Linked DNA regions of Alligator mississippiensis. The protein of the gene in region 1 interacts with the protein of each later gene in a pairwise test. Links are inferred from orthologs where the notes say so. Each region holds a gene or a part of one and is shown in the gene's direction. Other genes may lie near its edges.

The links.
Region 2: the proteins of PBX3 (region 1) and PKNOX1 interact in a two-hybrid assay, tested with the Homo sapiens proteins (2 studies listed by BioGRID and IntAct). The link is inferred for Alligator mississippiensis from reciprocal best matches to the Homo sapiens genes PBX3 and PKNOX1.
Region 3: the proteins of PBX3 (region 1) and MAL2 interact in a two-hybrid assay, tested with the Homo sapiens proteins (2 studies listed by BioGRID). The two-hybrid records come from large-scale screens. The link is inferred for Alligator mississippiensis from reciprocal best matches to the Homo sapiens genes PBX3 and MAL2.

The regions. Positions count from the first base shown.
Region 1 is NC_081835.1:66,704,112-66,711,214, forward strand, and holds the start of PBX3 (pre-B-cell leukemia transcription factor 3), read left to right. Parts: upstream 1-4,074; 5' UTR 4,075-4,170; intron 4,171-4,176; exon of another isoform or gene 4,177-5,183; 5' UTR 5,184-5,311; coding exon 5,312-5,508; intron 5,509-6,449; exon of another isoform or gene 6,450-6,478; coding exon 6,479-6,552; intron 6,553-6,742; exon of another isoform or gene 6,743-7,002; intron 7,003-7,103. UniProt on the Homo sapiens protein: Transcriptional activator that binds the sequence 5'-ATCAATCAA-3'.
Region 2 is NC_081824.1:299,810,079-299,817,002, forward strand, and holds the start of PKNOX1 (homeobox protein PKNOX1), read left to right. Parts: upstream 1-3,818; 5' UTR 3,819-3,923; intron 3,924-6,924. UniProt on the Homo sapiens protein: Activates transcription in the presence of PBX1A and HOXA1.
Region 3 is NC_081826.1:23,438,614-23,446,349, reverse strand, and holds the start of MAL2 (protein MAL2), read left to right. Parts: upstream 1-4,697; 5' UTR 4,698-4,745; coding exon 4,746-4,877; intron 4,878-7,736. UniProt on the Homo sapiens protein: Member of the machinery of polarized transport. Required for the indirect transcytotic route at the step of the egress of the transcytosing cargo from perinuclear endosomes in order for it to travel to the apical surface via a raft-dependent pathway.

The DNA.
Region 1 (7,103 bases):
CGCACCCCCTGGCGGAAGTGGCGCCGCGCCCGCTCAGCGCGCAGGCGCCGAGGCCGGGCAGAGGGCGGGGCCGGCGGCTCGGCTCCGCGCAGGCGCAGTGGTGCGCCCGTCGGGGCCCGGCCTGGACGGGGCGGGTAGCTCGCTTCCTTCGCTGCGGGGCCGCCTCCATGGAGCCCCCTGCGTGGGAAAAGGCATCTAGGCCGCAGCTCAGGGCCGGGGGGTCTGTAGCTGGGTGATGTATAGGCACTACTCACTTAACGTGGGAGTTACCGTCTTGAAAAACACGACACGATGTGAAGCGAATCCAGTTCCATCGCAGTCGTCGCCCAAACAACGTTACAACCGAGTGTCGCCCGACCCTAAACGAGCGTGCTCGCTGATAGAGCACCGCATCGTGACAAGACGCCGTGAAGCGAAGAGCACCTGCAGATACGGGGGTGAACGAAGCACGAGGCTGACGTTGGCTTCCTTAGGAACCGATGCCAGCCTCGTCAGCGAGAGCAAAGCTCTGCGCTGAATGTTGGACGCCCCATCCTGTCCCGTCACGGCTAAGCCGAAGTACTGGGAGCCGAGCCTGGAGCTGCGGGCTGGCGGAAACCCATCCTGGCAAGACGGGCTGTCGTGTTCTGCGGGAGACGCACCTGCATTTCTGCCGCCTTCTATCCCCACGCGCAGTGTGGTCACCAGGATCTCTCTAGCCCGGCTCCAAGGGTCCCAAAGACCTGAGCTGCCACCACAGCTTCTGAAATGCTGCACGGCAGCCTTAGTCTAAAAGAAACAGAGCTGGAAAATAAATCATTTCTTTGTCCAGGAGTGTGGCTTCGTACACATTTGCAGTCTAACAACCAGCCACAGAATACCATGTATCCACTGATTTTGGGTACACGGTAATCTCCAAAATGTAGACACACATTTGTAGACACTGTTTCTGTTTATGGGTGGTTTTAGAATAAGAGTACCAGCAAGGACACTTTGAATCTTTCAAAAAAAAAAAAATCAGATTCAAAGTATGTGTTGTCAAGCTCAATGTCCAAGAATGTGTAATTAATAGTGTCTCCCGTAATATATACTGTGTTGCAATGGCGAGAACGGTTATCATAAATAAAAGGAGACATGGATAAATTTATAATTAAAAATGCATTAGAAATTACAAGCATAATTTATTTACTAATGTGTACTGGAATAAATTTTCTGTGTAATATTTTAAAATGTGGCATTAATAAATAATCGTAAGCATAAAGTGGTGTTTTGCATCTACATGTATTTTAATAAATATTAGAATTAGACATGCTACAAAATTCTAATAAAATTATTCAAATAAGAAAACCAAACTTAAAAGTATCACAAATGGCATCTGTTGGAATGAGACAAGCAAAGGTAACCATACTACAAGCTGTACTATATATATATATATATATATATATATTCTTCTATTTATATATATACTATATATATAAATAAATAAATAATATTCTTAAAATGTGAAAGTTTTCTTTAAAAATAGCTGCAAAGGAAATTTGTGTGTGTGTCACACACACACTCTATAAATATTATTTTAGAAGAGACAGCACTAGAACATTCCTGCAATTAACAGCTGCTGCAAGGCTGGGTCTGGGCTCCAGCTCCTACCCACTACAGTCTTCCTGTGTGACCTCTATCAATATCCATTTTTTATTTACTTATTTTACAATACCCAGCAAGCTTATGCTCTCTCCCTAGCTGATGAGCAAAGCAAATTCCACTTTAAGTCCTCTTTTACACTGTTTCTAACTTTGACAAAGCTTTATCAAACCTTGCAGAAAAATTCTCATTAGCATTCTCAACAAACAGTCATTTTCAGGCCCAATTATTTTTTTTCAAGCTCAAGTGTTTGAATTATAGGTCATTAAATGATTTGGATCTAATGGTCATTCTGGTATATTGCTGTCCTTCCAAACTTTCCACGTTATTAGAAGTTACTGAAAATACACACCTCAGCCCTATTAGAATAAAACGGGATGCATTTAAACAAAGATAATTTTTCAATAAATTATGCATCATTTCCATAATAAAGCTGAGGTGCTTTTGTCATGAACTAAGACCCCAGTGCTCTGTGTACTGTGTTATCAGAAACCAAGGGATGGTCAATGCCCCCAGCAGCTTAAAAGTCTTCCTATTGAAAACAAAAGATAAACGGAGGAGTTTAGGGAAACAATGGGACAATGCTGGCCAGCCTGGTAGAAAGTAGTATCAGCACATCAGCAGCCTAGCCATTGCCAAGGACGCCACAGCAAAAGTTTTAATATTTGAAGGAAAATAATGCAGTAACTTTGCAAATACTTACAGGGAGCTGTTTCCACGGGTGAGGGGGCAGCACAGGAGCAAGCAGGAAGCTGTTTGAAAATGAAATGAGTGGATAGTAGTGGCGTAATTGGCTAATTGGAGGCAGGAATCAAGATCTTGATAGTGCACAAAAGATGATAGATAAGGAAGGGAGAGGCTGTGAAGGGTATGGGAAGTGAAGACACTACTGCTTATCTTTCATGTGATGAAGAAGCCATTGGAGGGGAGCAGAGGGATGTCAAGGCCAAAGGAAAATAATTGTTACAAAAACATTCTGGATGAACATCAGTGGGATGAGACTGCATTCAAGTTTCGGCAATCAAGGGGAAGTCATGAGGACATGGGCGGAAGCATTAGTTGTGGGGAAGGACAGGAGAGGCCTAGAGATGTCTTACAGGAATCATCCGGAAGATTTCGGTACACAGTGGACGTGCAGATCGAGAGATGACACTCAGGTTACGGGCCTGGGCGACAGGCAAAACGACAGTCGTGTCAACTGTGCTGGAGAAGGGCGGCGAGGGGAGCTTGGGAGGAAGGTGAAGCCCTCTCTTTTGGCCATGGTGCCGGCCAGACACCTACAAAACACAGATGGAGCTGTTAGCTTGGACATGTTCCCTCCTATCTAAAGCCACCCTGTGACAAAGCACCCCTGAAACATTCAATATCATGCTGATGATCTGCAAGGTCCCTTCCAGCCCCTAACATCTATGAATCTACGTTGTACTGATGGCAGTCCCCACGCTCCCCAAGCCAGGGAGGCCTGGTTTGCGCACTGGTCACAAGTGACCCAGGCCCACTGTCTGCAAGGCCGCCATCGAACGGGTCGTTCCCCTTGTGCAGAAAAGGGCCTTCCAGCAGCCCCCAGTTTTGTTCTGTCCAGAGGGGCCAAACCGGCCTGGTTTTGGAGTCACGATCCCAAGAGGCTGTTTTCAGGAGCACAGTGGTGGCTTCAGAGCTGCGCAGGCCTCACCGGCAGTGCCGGATGTAGGCTTAAGCCACTTCAACTACAGCTTGGGGCCTCCCCATGCGAGGGGCCCCCAAATAAGAAAAAAATCTGGACATTTTCATTCTAATATGACAAAAATATACACAGATACGACTCCCCAGGTATTATTCATGTCACTGGCGACGCACAGGGGATGCACGCGGGTGCACGTGCACCCCCTGCGAAAAGGTGCTGCCACCCCCAGCGCCTCAGCGTCTGCGGGCAGTCCCATGATCGCCGCTGGCGCCGCCACACCCCCGCTGCCCACAGCCGTGCCCCCAGGTGCTGGCGCTCATGAGTCCCCTCACGATTCCAAGTGGGACACAGGCAAAAAATAATAATTGCAGAAAAACATCTTTCTTTTTTCGTTAGGCCACCTCTCAGTGGGTGCGAGGTGTCGATTCCCGCCTCCCGAATCACCACGTGAGGATGCCGAGGGCACCCACGAGTGGCTCCAAGCCCGGGTGGGGGGACCTCATCCGGTGCCTAGCGGAAGCCGGGCCGCCGGCGCGTTGCCATGGAGAGGGAGGAGGCGGGGCCGGCGCTGCCACGTGACCATTCGAACGCGCCAATCCGAAGTTCGGCGGGGCGGGCCGAGGGGCGGGGCGCGGCCCCGCGCGCTCCCACTGGCCCGCGCGCCGCCCTCCCATTGGCCGTGGGTGGCGGGGTCGCTCCGCCGGCGCGCGGGGCCCGGCCGGCCGGGCAGGCGGGCGGGCGGCGGGTGACCCCGGCGGCGTCCCGTCCCGCGGCCCCCATTGGAGGGGCGTGTCCGGGGGGCGGGGCGTGCGCGGGGTCAGGGGCGGGGCGTGCGCGGCGCGGAGCTGGCGCGGCGCTCGCCTCCTCACAGGGTGACACGTCTGCGGGTGAGTGAGTGGCGTTGGCAGCCTGTCAATCCCTCACCGGAGCGGCCATCAAACAACATAAAACACACACAGTCACCGGCCGCCGCCTCATAAATTCCCGCTGCCGGATATTTTTGCACAGTGCTTTGCCGAGAGTCGTGTCATTAATTTTTTTTTCCCCCCCCCCTCCTCCTCTCCCTTCTCTCCTCTCGACCTCCCCTGCTTTTATTATTATTATTATTATTATTATTGCTATTTTTCTTCCTCACAACTTCAAACTTTTGAGGTGTTTTTCCTCATTTTTCCGGGGTTTTTGTTGTTGTCGAGCCCCTCAGCACACACCACTCCCGGTCGGGCGGGGGGGAGGGGGGCAACTCATTCCCCTAATAATTTTTTTTTTTAATTTTCTCCCCCCCCCTTTTTTTTTTTAATTTTCTGCCCCCCACACACTTTTTTTAATTTTTTTTTTTTTTTACTGTTTTGTCGGCTTTTTTTTTTAATTGTTATTTTGTGGCGGGGCGGGGGCGGGGGGGCTCCGGGATTGTTTTGTTTCCTCCTCGCTGGGTTTTTTTTTTAATTTCCGATTTCTCTCCCCGTGTGTGCGTGTGTTGTTCGGGCCGAGAAGCACCGGGCGCTCGCTCTTCTTTCCGGACCAAAGCCCCGGCAACAAAAAGGCAGCAGGGAACAAGCCAAGCGGTGGAGGAAGATTTTCTCTTTTTCTCCTTCCTTTCCCCCCCCCGCCCCCCGTTTTGTTTTTTGTTTTTTTTCCCGCCCCCCCACCCGGACACGCGAACTGCGAGGAAAGCTGCTCAAGTGCTCGGTGCCCGCCGCAAACATGCTGGCGATGATGATGATGAAGGAAGATTGTAACTAGAGAAGAGGGTGATTTACTGCGCGGGGAAGGAGCGGAGCGTGGAATAAACAACCGAGATCCGGGCAAAGCCCAAATACTGATTTTTGTTTTTTTTATTATTATTATTTTTCTTCACCTATCTAGATTTTATTTTTTTTTTTAATTTTTTTTCTCCCGCCAGGAACTGCCGCTGCCTGCCAGAGCCAGAGATTTATTTGCCTTTTCTTTTGGAGGCAGCAGCTCCTTGCTCGCTCGCCCGGCTCGTGCTCCGCTCCGCCGCCGCTCGCCCGCCCGGGCTGCGGGAGGAGCATGGATGATCAGTCCAGGATGCTGCAGACTCTGGCCGGGGTGAACCTGGCCGGCCACTCGGTGCAGGGGGGCATGGCTCTGCCTCCTCCCCACGGACACGAAGGGGCAGACGGCGACGGCAGGAAGCAGGACATCGGAGACATCCTCCATCAGATCATGACCATCACTGACCAAAGCCTGGATGAGGCACAAGCAAAGTTGGTTTCGTCTAATTAAACCTTCTCTTTTTTTTTTTTTTTCTTTTTTTTTTCTCTGTGTGTGTGTGTGTGGTTTTTGTTTCTCTGCGGAGTCTCACCATTAGAGCAACTTCTTAATACTGTGGGAGAAATGCAAAGCAGCAAAGGCAGAGCCCAAGTTGCTATTCATTTGGGGGTTTTTTTAAATCGCTAGATCTATCACTTCGCGATGCTCATCCCATCCCTCTCCTCCATTTGACCGCACTACCGCTCTCGCTGCGATAGTCCCATTTCACCGCCGTGCCTTGGGGCGCTCCCCGCCTGCCCCCCTGGCGCACCCCCGTCCCGGAGCGGCTGCCAAAATCGGTCTGTGCTCCGGGAGGCTTCGCTTGCTTGCTAAGAAGTGTAACTTTCTTTCCTCCCCTCCTGCCCCCGAAGTGGCGGCAGATGAATTGCGAAGCTGACAAGATATTGCTGCAGGGGGAAAACCCTCAATGTTTCCAATCACAGTAAATACAAAACAAAGAAGGCGAAGTCTGGAAGTCCCGTCCCCCCCCCTCCCCCCCCCCCCCAATAAATCAGGTGCAATGTAGCGGCATGGAAAGGGCTGCAGACAGGCGGTGACGGATGCACATGGCATCGCGGGGCATTTGCACACAGCTGATGCGATGCCCAGAAGCGGGCCGGGCCGGGCCGGGCCGGGCAGCAGAGGGGCGCCCCCCCCCCCCCGTTCCCTGCGCCCCTTGTCCCCGAGGTCAAACCCCGGCTCGCTTCCTCTCCCCCGGATGGTTGGTACTTTGCACCCGCCTCGGGCCAAGCTGCCGCCGCTGCCCCGGCCCGAGCCCCCGGGGCGCCAGCCCGCACGAGCCTGACTCCCCGCCGCCTTGCAGGGCGCGGGGCAGCGTGGCAATTCAAGCATTTTCTTGCAGAAAGGCGCCATATTCTCAATAGCTGGTGCTAACCCGTGTGTTTTGTGTTGTCTGTTTTGCAGAAAGCATGCACTGAACTGCCACAGGATGAAGCCTGCTCTGTTCAGTGTCCTGTGTGAAATCAAAGAGAAAACAGGTAAGAGCCCAGGCGGGCCGCGGCTCTGCCCAGCCGAGCAGCGCGGGGCTCTCCTCCGGCTCGGGCTGCTCGGGGCACCGCAGCCATCTTTGATCATTGCCTCCTTCCCTGCTTCTCATCCCGGGGAGGGGAGGGGAGAGGAGAGGAGAGGAGGGGAGGGGGGCTGCCATAAATCTGCAGCAAATTTTACAATTCATAATCCCGATGTAAAATGAAATGTAGATGAAAATGATCGTGTGTCACCGTCCGCAGAGTCCATTCCCCCTCTGGCTGCAATCAGGGAAGGAGCAGAGCAGCTGCCTTGTTTGTGTGGCAGCTTCTTAAAGGAGCGATGGGAGCTCGCAGAAGCCAATTGCAGAGTGAGAGCAAGGGAGCAGCCTGGCCGGCAACTTTCTCTTTGACTCGGGTCACCTTCTCGTGGAGCCCTGCAATTAGCGCAGGATCTGCCATAGGACACAGCCCTGACCAGGCAGGAAATGGGCTGGAGCCTTCCGAGTTGCTCAGGGACCTGCATGTGTCTCTAGAAATGTGTGCACAAATATATGCGTACC
Region 2 (6,924 bases), on another chromosome or scaffold:
AGCCGGTGCAGACATCACTGCACAGAGGGTCCAACAGTGACTGCGACCTGGAGAGCTGTTCAAGGCGGCTTGGGTCTCCAACCCTAACATGAGGCTGGATGGTGCAGGTGTCACTGCATGGAGGGTCCGGTGAGCTGCTCAAAGTGGCTCAGGTCTCGAACCCCAGCACCAGTGCAGACGCTGCTGCATGGTGAGCCATTGTTGGGCCAAGGGCCCTTGGAGGGGGCAGGGGGTGGTTCCCCATTCCCCACTGCTCGGAACAATGGCCCATGGGCAGCGCAGGCTCCGCAGCAAGGCGGCCCTGTACTGGAGCCCTGGTCCTGGGCACACAACCTGCTGAGAAGACCGAGCCATCTGGACATGTGAACAAGCCACGTGGGAATGAGACAGAGCACTCACTGCAGGAGCCACTTGCCTAGCTGGGGATGAAACACTGGGAACCCCTACTCACCGGGAAGCTTGACTTCTTGGACAAGGGGTTTCCCACTGGGGAGGGATATCAGAGTGGGTTTAGGCTAGAGAGAGAGAGACTCCTCTAGAGGAGGGGGGCATTTGGGATTATCATGCCTTACATTTTGGAGTGTTTATTAATTGCTTGTTGTGTTTTCTATTCTGAAGAGTTTATTCACTATTTATTGTGCTTTACATTTTGGGGGCGCTTACCCACCAGTTGCTGGGACATACTTACCCTCTGAGGATCCATGGGTGAGGTTTCTCTTGTGGATCTTGGGGACTGCTATACTTACCTATTATTTGTTGACTTGAATGTATTATATGTAAAGAGTTATCTTTATCACCCATCCAGTTTATTCTATCCCCTCACCTTTTATTCTGCATCTGAATAAACTATGTATATAGTTAAGATATTGTGTCCTGGTCTTCCTCTAGAGACACTGGAGAAGGGTAAGCTGTGAGCAAGCTGCAGTTTCCATTTCCAGCACATACGCCCTGCTGATCATCCCCTTCTATTGGAAAGGGGGCTTGCACACTCCGGTACACCTGGGATACAAATGTAAGAAAAGAACTGGGTGTTCTAGGTGGTAGGTAAAGTACTTTTAGTAACTTAGACCTTGACCCTAAAAGCACTTACACAAATGCCCACCATTCAGATAACTTGGTACTACTCACTGCAATAAATTTAACCAGGTATAAAATTGTTTCCAGGCCCAGTTGTTAAATGTATCTGATTTAGGGATACACATACAACTTCAGTGCTCAATATGTTCTACTTGCACAAATTGAAATCAGTTTGGGAAGACTGGTATTTCATCATCATTTGCAATTGCAAAGCTTATAAATGTTGCCACTTATTCAAAGCTTCTTCCAATGTGTTATTGCAGGTATTAAACATTTTGTACAGCCAGGTTTACTTGTAAGTTCCATGCTGTCCAAGAAAAGAAGGTGACTGACACTTAAGTTTCACCATTGACTTCCTGTGTGCACCTGTATTTGTGAAGAACACAGTGTAATAGTAAGCCAGTTGCGTGAGTAATCTTCTAATGTATTTATTGTGGAGAAAACCTTCACTGTGGTACTGAGTCCTCAATGTTTTGTGACTGAGAAGGAGAGGCACAGTAAGATCTTAGCACCCAGAGATGGAGAGAAAAAAGGATTTAATTTTCCAAATTTTTCATCTTCTATTATTCTCCACTGTTTTTTCTTCTTCCTCTCACTTTCTATTCTTTTTTCCTCCCTTTCATTCTCTTCAGTTTCTAAATGTTGCAGACTTTCTGAGATGGGTGATCCTGATTTCCCTTCTATTTTCTTTGCTGAATCTTACAAACGTTATTTTCACAGTCCTTAGCTCCACATTGCTCTGCCTGCCTCGAAGAAAACTGGTGAGCACAAGAGCTGACAAAGAGGCAAGAAAAAGGACCAGATGACAATTTGTGACTGGCCAAGTGAGGATGGCAGCATAGGGTGACTAGATTCCCAAAGAAAAAACTGGGATGACATCAGCTGGGAACGGATTGGGGGCATGACAGCAGGGGACAAAAGCTGCTATGTGCAAGGGATATGTGACAAGCCTGTTGCATATATGCTCAGGTAACTTGTCTTGGTAACATGGGCTCTGCTGACCAGTGCTGCCTCAAACAGCCTGGTCTGGCAGAGGACTGTAAAAAACCCAAACTTAGCTACTGGGCTTACAGGGAAGTCAAGATAGGCCCTGAATGCAGGAAGGTCCCCAGGGAAAGCAGGGGTTCATGGCCATCAGGCAGCTTTGCCTGGCCTGACCCTGCCCGGGGCTGCAAAACCTGGGACAAATCACTGGTTTTTAAACAAGCTCCTGCCAGGCACCAGACCATGGCTGGCACTGTGGGGAGGCACTCTGCTCTCTGTAGGGGAAAGGGAGCCAGGCTGCCCCTTTCCCCTCCGTTCATGGCATTGAACGAAGCAGGCTGCCTGTTGCCTCTGCGAGCTCAGGCCTCTCTGAACCAGCTAGTCTGTGAGGCAGGTATTATCAACCAGGCGGCCTTGAGATCCTTTAGGGATGCCCCATGTGAGGCATGCCAGCACAACCCGGAGAGAAACCCAGAGGTTTCCAAGAGGACCCCAGAGTACGGCAAATGTTCTGCCCTGCTGTGGGCTTTCTGGACAGGCCGATGGCCCCTGTACTTTTCCATAAATCCAAAAAAACCCCAAAAACAGGAGAGGAGGGGGGAAACAAAGCCGGCTTTTCCTCAGAAGCACCCTGCGAAGAGGGGCCGGGTGCCTAACTAGGGTTGGCAACCCTGAGTCTATTCGAGGAGGTTTCCAAAATGCCAGTGTGCCTGCAACACAACACGAATGCGCCCACGTACTTGTGTGTATCAGGTACGGATTATGGTGTGTAGACGTTATGTCAAGAAGGCAAATGCACGTGACTGTTACATTTTAAAAACCCACTGGACTACTGTACAAATCAGATTCAACATTTAATCTTTATTTTAATGAACGCCCTGTCATTGATCTCTCAGGTGACTCCCAGCAGTCTCCTGGAGATTTCTTTCTCATTCCTAGAGACACCAGGGCAATGCTGGTGGGTTGGCAACCCCAAGCCAAAGGGTGCCCTGAGCCTCCAGGAGCTGAGCACCCCCTACACGCTGCCTGATCTTTCTCCCGATTCAGGGTGGCGCTGTACAGATGGGCAGTGTCGCCCAATTGGGTGGCAACAGCGGGGCAGTCTGCTAGCTGCCAGGCTCTCAAGGACCGGTGTTTCTAGGAGGGGGGGATAGTGCTGGGGACACATGTGCTCTCGGGAGCTGGTGAGCGGTGTGTTGCAGGGCATGCATGGCGCTGGGACTGCCACGGCCCACCCTGGGGCGCCACTTGCAGCACACCACTCCCCTGGGGCTCACAGGAGCACCTGGGGCAGCCCCAGGCCAGGTCTGCAACCCCCAGAGCCCTTGGGCCCACAAGGGAGGGCCTGTGGGGCAGAGGCCTGAGTTGGGGGGCTGCATAGTAACCACCCCTTCCCTTCCAGGAGGAGTGCGTGGCCTCCCCCTCATTTAATTTGGTATCTTCCCCAAGTCCCCCCACCCTCTACTTCATTTGGTATCTTCCCCCTGCCCCCACCCCGGAGAGTTAGTTCCATCTCCCTCCCACCCCCGACCGAGCTGAAAGGGGCGGTGCAGAGCTGGGCGAGTCCCCGCCCCCTTCATGAATATTCACAAGGCTGGCGGCGCGCAAGCCGGGGAGAGAGAGAGAGAGGAGCGGTGGCCCCACCCCCGAGCCGAAGCTAGCGGCCGGCGCTGGGCGTGTCCGCGGCGGGCCCCGCCCCCGCGGGGGTGAATATTGATGAGGCGTGGCGCGCGGCGCGGTGTCGTGGCGGGCAGCGCGGGCGGCGATTGGCCCGCCGCGGGTGTGCGCGGTGACGCGTGTCGCGGCGGTGCGGGTCCCGATTGCTGCAGCCGCTTGTCAGTGTGACGAAGATTGGCACCCAGGTAAGCGCTGTCACTCAAACCCGCTCCCAGCCAGCTCCGCCAGCCATCCATCACGGCGCGCCCGCCGCCGCCGCCCGGAGCCCCGCCGCGCCGTGCCGCGCGGCCCGGCCGGGGGGGCGGGGGGGGCAGCCCGCCACACGGAACAGCGGCGGGGGAGGGGGCCGCTCGCGCTCATGCCCAACCCGAGCGGGGGGGGGGGAAGGGAGGGAGAGAGGGAGGAAGGGCGGGGGTGAGGGGCGGTGGCGGGCAGGGGAGGGGGGAGCGAGGAAATTTCTGGAACAGCCGCCGTGGAACCGTTGTCTGGGCGAGCGCGCGCCGGCCGGGTGTGGGCAACAGCTGTGCGCGCGCGCGCGTGTGTTGGGGGGGTATTTAAAGGCCCAGCAGCAACTTGGGGCACATTCCGATGGAGCCGGGGGTCCCTAGCTCTGGTCTTAACACCTGCCCCAGTGGGGCTCCCTTCCCCCCGCCCCCCTACGCGCAGTGGTGTAGTCCGCGGGGAAGCGGTACAGCTCCCTCCGGAGTAGTAGTGCGGCCCGGGGTGGGGGGGGGTTTCTCATAGCGCCTGGGTATCGAGTGCCCCCTCCTGCCCCTGCACCCACTCCTACGGCAGGAGGCGGGGCAGCCGTTGCCGCAGTCGCGGCCCCCAAGCGCGTGCAGCGTGAGGCCCCGCCCCGGCGGGGCAGCGGAAGAGCCCGGCCCGCCTAGCCCGCCGAGGCCTGGTCGCGGTGCGCGCGGCTCGGGGAGGGCGGCTGGCTGCGTCCAGCCACCTGCCCGCTGCTGAGCCGGCTGCTGCGTGTGCCCCAGAGGCTGGGCTCGGCTCTGCAGCAGCTGCCGCCAGCAGATGTAATAGTCACCTCGGGCCGCCCAGCGTCCCCCGGGCTTCTCCGCAGCCTGGCCTGGGAGCTACTGCTCCCCCGGGGCCGGACCTGCTCTGAGCTCATGTATTAACACCGACACCAGCACCTGGGCCTGCTCTGTGCTTCTGCATCTCTACTTCTCAATCTCCATTTCACTCTTTCTCTCTTGAATTTTATCCATGCAGTGGTTCTGGGCAGCTAATGCTCCAAATGATTTTAGAGGTGTAGTTGCAGTGGCGTGGGGTTTTTTCCTCTTTTTTTTTTTTTTTATCTTGACTTTTTTTTTCCTGCTGGTGCCCAGGTTCTCAACCTTTTTTGTACCAGGACCCATTTGTAAACATCGATGGCCAGCCCGGACCCAATGCCCCTCACTCCTGACCTGCTGCCCAGTGCCCCCAGTGTGCGCGGGGGCGGGGGGGGAGGGGGCAAGCAGCCCCTTGAGGGGATGGAGCTCTGCCAGCCTGCAAGGGAAAAACCACAGTTTCCCACGTTTTTCTCTAAAGAAAAATCCATTTTTAAAGTTTGTGACCCTTTCATGTATTCTTGCAACCAGTTTTGGGTCATGACCCATGGGTTGCAAAATGCTGTGTTAGTCAGCTTTGATTGATTGATTTGTTCCTCATTTAGGGTAACTAACGTATCTCAGGGGAGACCATTAGGGTCCTGATCTGTTTCCCTTATTCATCGGAGTCTTGTACCTGCTATATATATAGTTTTGGCCACACAGTTACAAATGCTGTCCAGGCAGGGTTCATTTTTTTCCTCAGCCCCTTTTGGAATCTGCTGCGTGTTCCATTAAGTTGGTTACTGAAGTGAAGAGACTGTGTTTTGGCCTGGCTTGCAGACTTTGGAGAACCTTTGAGTCACAGTTGTCTTATGTCACAGTCCCTTTATTCTAAAATCTCATTCAATTAAAATAGTCTTGCATTTTTTCACCTTTTTAAAAATCTTACAATAAAGTGAGCACTCATATTGCTGTTTACCTATTCAGGTGTTCATCATCTTGCTTAGAAATTTATTTCTAAGTGTTCTTCACTTTTCTTTTTGCTACAGTATCACTCTTTTGATAAGATGTGATTTTTAGAGGTTTTTAAAAAATACATATCATTAGTATAGCTACCAACGCTGCAGCAGTTGTATCACTTTACAGATCCTGGTATAGTCCAAGTGGTAAAACGTACTTATTGCAAGAATGAATGTTAATTGTGCATGCAGAAAGCCATAGTCTCTTAAATTGCCTTGAAGGGTAGAAAGCTAATGACTGCTGCAGTATTAGAAATTCCCTGATACAAAGTCACAATATTTAGGGCAGTTTTAGGCAAAAAAAAAAAATATATTGTAGACTCACTTTCTTAATACCTCTGCCAAAAATTGCAGAATTGTGTTTTTTAAATATGAAAATAACTGCTTTTGTATTTAATCATGCATTGGTTTAAATTGTCGAACCTACACACGTAACAAACCATATATTTGGGTAAAACAGTATCTTGCCTCATTTGATTTCATCCTTGGTTTTTAGCTTATCCAAAATCTCTAGTTTTTCAAATTTTGTTACAAATGAGAATATTTTTTGCTGTTTGGTTTATTCTGGGCAGTGAAACATGCTCAGTGCCTGTCCCTGCAAGTAGCAATAATTTTCGATACTTCCCTGCATTCTGACAACAAAAGGCACAAATGAGAGCTTCAGAAGAACATAAGAAGTGCCTTACTAGGCGTGTCTACACATTGATTAATGTAATTACAGCGCATTAAGTTTAGTACCTGCAACTACAGGTACTAACAATGCACCAAAATCAGTGCTACTACACATTAGTGCAGATGAGCACTCTTAATGTGATGTTAATGCATGTGACTTAAGTCTATTGCGCATTAGCATGGTTTTTGCCAGCTGTGCCAGTGCACAGTAGAAGGGTATTCTGTGCATTGTCTTGTGTAGATGCACTCACTGGGTCAGACCAATGGTCCATCTAGCCCAGTATCCTGTTTCCAGGCGTGGCAGAAGTGAATGCTATACCAGGAGATCATTGAATGAAATATCTCTATAGAGTGCTTTATCCCCAGTTCAGTACCCTTCCTGCATCAGCATACAGATTTTGTGTGGTCTTTTTAATTTTAAATCTTGATTTCTTAAATCCCTTAAGAAC
Region 3 (7,736 bases), on another chromosome or scaffold:
TTGGTGTACTGTTACCAGTAGATTACTGAAAGAAAAGTCTATGAGGAAGAAACTAAAAGGCTTATTTCTAATCTTACTTCGTGCCTGTTTTATGCTAATTTGATTTCACTGACTTCACTAGAGCTACTCCAGTTATTATCAGAATCATAGTTGGAAGTACAAGACGTATGTGATATGAATCCAAGTTTAAACAAGGCAGTCTAGATCCGCTGAAACTGGCAGCTGGTTTTACATTTTTTGCTATATTAATAATTACCAGATTAAGGAAAGCAAAAAAAAAAAAAGTTCTGCAAGGCTAAAAAGGACCCAAAGAGCTTTCTTGTTATTTTTCTACAGAAAGAGAAAGTAACTGGAGAAGACTGTCCTTATACTTCCGAAAAAAAACCCACATTGAACTCTGCTCTATTTATTTTAATGAAGCAGTGTGCACAAATCTGACTGTGAGCAAATATTGCCAGCATTTGACTCCTAGCGACGACCATGTGGGTGCCTACTTTAAAAAAAGAGAAATACAGATAATATGCCTTATTTCTGGGAGCCCAGTCCTTGGTGGCCTTTGTTTCACCCTGACACTGCAGGATGAAACAAAGAAATCAGAATAGCTATACATAGTCTCCAGTGGTCTTGGGAGAGTTCAGTAATGTTTATAAAAGTTCTTTGAACATGAAATCTGATATATCATTGTTATTACTACCTGCAGATATCTTTAGCTGCAAATCAGGAAACCTTATACCATGTCCAGGTGATAAGGAAATATAATGCAGATTTATGGCACACATAATATTAGCTGTCATATCTCATGATCATTGCATTCACAAGGGAGATATAAAAGCTGCGCTGCTTTTGTCCAGCCCAGTAGGCATTGCCATGTTTCACAGTTAACATGGCAATATTTTGTGGTAAACACTTCAGGGAATTGAGAGGTTTGTGACAAGCTGTCTTCTCTATTAGGGTAGACCATAACAGAGGTGCCTAAAAGATGTGATATGTAATATGTTATGCCTTAAACTTTGCTATGGGCAATGCCACATGTCATAAAGGATTATAGTTTATCTTACGTTTTGCATAAGCCATTTCTGTTTATGTGGTTTGGATCAATGGATCAATATCCTTTCTAAACCTACAAAGCTTACAATTCAGCATTAACTAGCTTCCTACAACACTTCCACAATTCTCTTAGGCTCTCTCACAGCTTGGAAAGACTACAGCAGGCCGAAATGCAAATATTTCAAATATTTACACATATGAAGCGAACTCTACAACATAAACACCTGCTTAAGTCTCTGAATCTAACTGATTAGCATCCTAACATTTAAAATTCTTAAAGGATTCAGACTTTTAAAACAGAACAAAAATCCATTAGAATCTGCAAGCATGTAAACTGTCACAAAAGACCATGTAAAACAGAGGCGAGCAATTATTTCGGGTAGAGGGCCACTTACGAAGTTTTGGTGAACTGTCGAGGGCCACATGGGTAGCCCTGCCCCTTGACAGTTGCCCCACCCCCAGTCAGACACCTGCTCTTGGCTGTGCCAACACACAAATTTTGCATGGCAAAAATCATACCAATCTACCAATACAGAACATGTTACTTATTGGTGACCAAACAGCTTTTTAGAAATAGCTCTGCCTCTGGCATTCTCTCTCAAGCTGCAAGTATTGACAATATCTACTGGTATGACGTTCCATTGGACCAGCTGGTACTTAATACTTCAGTCGAAGTTAGAGCAAAATAAAACTTGAAAGAAGGCAGTAAGCCAAACCCAAAGTTTCACAACTGCCACTAATGACCCAAATTCATCAGGAGCTCTGTGATAGTGTGAAACAGGTCTGCATCAAATTGTGAATTGTTTTTAATTTGAATCTCCTTTTTGCATTAGTGCTGAACATGTCAAAACTTGTTCAAGGCAATTTATTTTAGTGCCCTGTGGACAGTCCCTTTCTAATGAAATATTCTTGACATTTGACATTGGTGAAGGACAGCCACTAACAAGCCAGTCTAAGGCAGCTGATTCTGATTGTCCCTCAACTTTTGGCACCACAAACAATGGGCCTTCTGCACAGAAGCCGGTAGGGTGAGCATCACTGGGTGAAAGGGAAAATTCCCAGTATAACTCATGTTTAGCGACAGGGTCTAACAGAAGGTGTTGTCCTGTAGCAGGTGGGGGAGGGCTAACATGCATCACAGAGAAGAAAAATATGCAGGAAAGGAGAGTGCAAAATGGATTTGATCCAGCCTGAAAAACTGACAAACCACAGATTGGGAGAAAACGTGGTATTAGAGCAGTGGTCTCCAACCTTTTTATGGTGAAGATCACTTTTTGGAACTAAAGGTCACCCCAGGATCTACTGTGTCCCCCTGGCTGCCTTGCCCCCCTGTCCTGCCCTGCCCCGCCCTGCCCCACTTCCCTCCGCCCCCTGCCCCATGCTCCCCTGGACCATGGAGTGTCCCAGATCCAGCTGGGCCTGATCCCCCTTCTGTGCTGCAATTGCACTGAGTTGCACCTGCCCAGCAGCCAGAGAAAGGTGGTGTTGGGCCCTGGCTTGGCTGGGTCTGAAAGTCTCCATGGTCTGGTGGTCACTGGGGGAGGGCATTCTTGCTGCTGGGTGCAGCGTGGCAAAGAACCCAGGGGCCAATGTCCCCCAACCTGCGCTGGGGACAAGGTGGCTGCTGCTGTGGGTTGCCTGCTGCACCCCGAGCACAGGTGGGAGGGGCACGGGCTGTCAGGGCCTCCACCAAGCTGTGCCCAGCGGTGGGAGCACCCCCCACGCACCCTTGGACGACCAGATCTTCCCAGATCTGGCTGGGCCAAGACCACCCCCACGTGAGTCCCTGCTGCTGAGCTGAGCCGCGCCTGCACGTGGCCAGCTGTAGCAGGACTTGAGGCACAGCGGCAGCAACCTCAGCCGCCTCTGCCCCCGCAGAGATGGGGAGGGAGCCCCAAGTGCCACTGGAGGAGCCTCCCTGGGCTCCAATCCTCCCACCACCTGGCCGGACTGGGGCCCCACTAACCTTCCCCTGCTCCTGGCCGGCCACAGTCAGCCGCTCGCCACGGAGACCTCAATCTGGCCCCTGCCCCTTCCCTCCCCCACAGATTGACCTGCTGGGGCTGGGGGCAGTGGGTGTGCACAAGTGCACATGCCCAGCTTTCCCCCCAACCCAGGATCTACCAAAAGAGGCTCTGGGATCTACCTGTACACACAGGGTCTGGACACGCCCAAAAAGTACATCTATAAGCCACGACAGGACTCAGCTGGTCTGAGACTGATACTGTGGGATACATGGCTGCTGGACTATAGAGTCCCATATCCCAGTGAAAGGCTCAGAAGAAAGATTTGACCCTGGGGACATATTGTGTACACAAGAGTTGGAAACAGGGACTAGATTGAGTCCAGACCCAATTGGCTGAAACCCATGTGTGCCCAGTATTTGGGCCCATTTTCAATACATGATCCTACGGAGAGGTACTGGTCCAGGCTGCATCATTCATTACTTCTGAAAAATCATGTGTCGCACCCAAAAAACTTAGGAAAACTTAAAACTTCAGCTCCTGCCACCATGAACATACTGTAACCTCCACTTTTTTTGTTTGTGCTGCTTATTAAAAAGTAGATCACACAGAATGGTCATACAGAAAACGATCTTAGAGAAAAGCCTCTGTAACCAGAAGGTAAATGCCGTCTCCTCCAAAGTTTAAAGTTTCATGATCTATACACGGACCTGGCGTTTTGCAGGGGAACTGACTTGTGACTTCCGAACGCTCGGCTTGGCAATACCATTAGACCTGTGATTCTCACCACCTTTAGACCCGAGACACCCCTGGGTAGACTCAAGGACTCTCAGCGAACACTCTTCTCCCCGCCCTTTCCCTAGCCCCAGTCTCTGTCCCTCACTGCCGCGGGAAGGCATCCCTATCTGTTCCACTGTAAACTAGGTATGCTTTGTGCAAATTCAATGTAGGTGCTGTTCCCCAGGAACCAGAGATGATCCAAGCAGGGTGCGTGGCCCAGGGCAAAACAGCCTGTGCCGGGCCCCGCTCCTGGATGCAAGAAACCAAGCGGAAGATTTGGCAATGGGGGGAAGGGGGTGGAGCTGGCTCTGCAGGGCCCCCCAAAGCACCGGGCCTGTGGCAGTCACCCTGATTTGTGCCCCCCCGTCCAGGGACGGCATCTACGGCATAAATTGAAGGCAACATTATTGTGCCAGTCATCTTCAGGCGATGCTATATGTACCCTGTGTGAAGAGCTCGAAGGCCACCAGGCAGCACAGTAAACACAATGGGGGACAGGGTTTGAACTTGCCCGCAGGGGCACGTGTTGGCACTGCGAGGGCCCCCCTCCGTATAGGCCTGAGGCACGGCGATTTAAATGCATAGCTTTCACAGATTTCATAATAACGCAGCGGGCTGCAACAGCAGCCTCCAAGTCCCCGGAGGGGGCTTGCAAGAGGATGGAGCCGGGCTGCTGCCGGCGGTGCCGAGGGCAGAGCGAGGAGCGAGGGCTCCAGCTGCAGCCAGGGAGGCTGAGGTTGAGGAGGACGGTGGCGAAGCAGGCGGGCGAGCTGTCCGCGCACGGTGCGGGATCGCCGTCCTCGCGGGCTGGAGCCCCGACACCGCCGCGCCGCGTGGGCCGGGCGGGGCCGGGGGCGGGAGCGGGAGCGCCTCCCCCCAGCACCTGCCGGCACCTCCCCCGGCGCCGCCCCGCCCCGTCCTACCTGGGCGCAGCCACGTCCGGGCCGCAGCGGGATGTCGGCCCGCGGGGGAGCCATGCCGCCGCCCCCCAACCCTGCCGCCTACTTCCCGGCGCCGCGGGTCACGCTGCCCTGCGGCCTCGACATCCTGCGCACCTACTCGGGGGCCTTCATCTGCCTCGAGATCGTGAGTCGGGACCGGGACCGGGACTGGGACGGGGGGGAGGCTGCCGCGTCCCGCCACCGCCACCGCCGCGAGCGGCCCCTGCGCACGGGGCCCGGGGCAGGCGGGGGGGACGGACACGCGCGACCGCCCGGGGACACGGCGCGGGCACACGCGTCCACACGGCGGGCGGCACACGGCTGCGTGCGGAGTAGGCGCGCCTACGTGCGGGTGCACGCGCCTCTCTACCTGCGTGGTACACACACACACACACACTCCCGCGCCCTACATACAGAGTGCAGGCAGCTACATGTACACAGCAGGGTGTGTGCACTCCACAAGTATGCGCACCCTTCTACCCACGTGGTTCACACACACACACTTCTACATACAAAATACAGGCACCGACATACAAAGTACACACTCTTCTGTGTATAAATTACACACACCCTTCTACCTACATAGTTCACATGCGCACACTTCTACATACAAAGGGCATGCACCCTTCTGTGTACAATGTATGCGTGCCCTTCTACCTATGTGGTTCTCACACACACACACACACACACAAAATATGCACATCTACATACCGAGTACACGCACCCTTCTGTGTACAAAGTATGCGTGCCCTTCTACCTATGTCATACACACACACACACTCCTACTTACAAGATACAGGCACCTACATACAAAGTACACGCACCCTTCTGTGTACAAAGTATGCATGCCCATCAACCTATGTGGTTCACACACAGACACACACGCACACCTACAAACTGCAGACACCTACATGCAGAGTGCACGCACCCTTCTGTACACAAAGTATGCACAACCTTCTACCTATGTGGTTCTCTCACACACACACACACACACACACACACACACACTTCTACATACAAAGTGCAGGCACCTTTATGCAGAGTGCACGTACCTTTCTGTATACAAAGTATGCATGCCCTTCTACCTACATGGTACGCACGCACACACTTCTACATACGATATGCACATGCACACTTCTATATACAAAGTACAGGCACCTACATACAAAGTACACGTATCCTTCTGTGTACAGAGTATACGCACCCTTCTACCTACATGGTACGCACACACACACACCCTTCTACATACAAAGTAGAGGCAACTACATACAGAGTACATGTACCCTTCTGTACATAGAACACACTGTTCTACCTGTATGGTACACATGCACACACTTCTACATACAAACTGCAGGCACCTACATACAAAGTGCACACACCCTTCTGTACTAAGAACACACTGTTCTACCTATATGGTACACACACTTCTACATACAAACTGCAGGCACCTACATACAAAGTGCACACACCCTTCTGTACTAAGAACACACTGTTCTACCTATATGGTACACACACTTCTACATACAAAATGCAGGCACCTACACATGAAGTGCACGCACCCTTCTACATACAAAGTATGCGTGCCCTTCTATCTATGTGGTACACGTGCACACACTTCTGCATACAAATTACAGGCACCCTTCTGCATACGAAGTATACACACACATACATGTTTCTACATACAAATACACACATATGTGCTTACATTTCCTCAGCCTTCTATCTGCACGCCCAACTTTACCCAAGTGCCCTCACTGAGCTCACTGGGACAGGTCAGGTCCTTAGAATTAAGCTGGAGCAGAAGGGTTTTCAGCTTCGCAGCTGTGATTACTAATTGAGCATGAGAGCCTGGGGAAATGTAGGTTACAAGACTAGAGTCTTACTTACAGCTGCAGATTTGAGTCGACTGGTCTAACCACCAGAGGAGCCCTGTACACACCTGACTTCCACCCTGTGGCTTCTGTATGTGTGCAGTCCTCCATTCTCAGGCAAGTCAGAAATGACCCTGAGTTAGTTAACTCCTTGATGGTTTTGCCAACCAGTGTAATACGAGTGCTGTGCCTTGCTTTAGTTCCACTGGACAGGTGCATTATCAGGGAAATCATTGTCAAAGTAGATACTAAAATTAGTAACCGTGATGCCAATCTCAGGGGTGGGATGCAGTGGAAAGACTGTGTGGCTATTACCCATGAAATACCTGTTTTCTGCAGAAAGGATTTGAGACTCCAGTGCCATGTTACTGTAGAAGGAAGTAGGTTTTCTCACAGCAGATGCATCATGAAAAGAAACTGTTGAAAATAGCTTGAAGGCTGACAGACTAACCTGTGAAATTGTGAATTCAGGCTGCCAGTGCATCTTTACATCAGATGTATTGGATTCATATATGCTGTGTTTTAATACCACAAAGGATTTACCTGTTCTTACTGGAAATTGAGCCAGGCCCAGATTAAAAAAGAAACTAAGCAGGCTTTCCATTGAAGTTCTTGCTATCTGGAAAAAAAAAGGAAAATTGCTTCCAGCTTCATGCCTTGGGAGGTATACACTGGAAATGGCCACTCAGCCTGAATTTGATCACTGTCATTACTGCCCATTGTCTTAAATAAGGTCTTAACTATTAAGCTAAATTAAGCTTTCCATCTTAAAGAGGATATAGGTTGTAGCCATGTTGATCTAAAGACATAGGAACACTTTCCAGTGGCAATGGTGATTTTAATGGGTATCTTTTGTTATAGATGAAGACATATTCATTGTGATCAATCAGTATGCTACAATGACATTTGGGAGGGCTAAATTCTGCTCTTTGTTACATAAGCTTAAGTGCAAAGAACTTGGCCTATCTCTTCCTTTTACTTAGCCTTCCAGATCCAGTCTGCCATCGCTTTTCTAACCTTAAAATATTTTACTTTTCATTTATTGCCTTTTATCCTTTTGTCCAAATGTCATGTGCCTAAAGGAAAATAAGAATAAACTCAGTTAAAAAACAAAACAAAACCAGGATCTATTT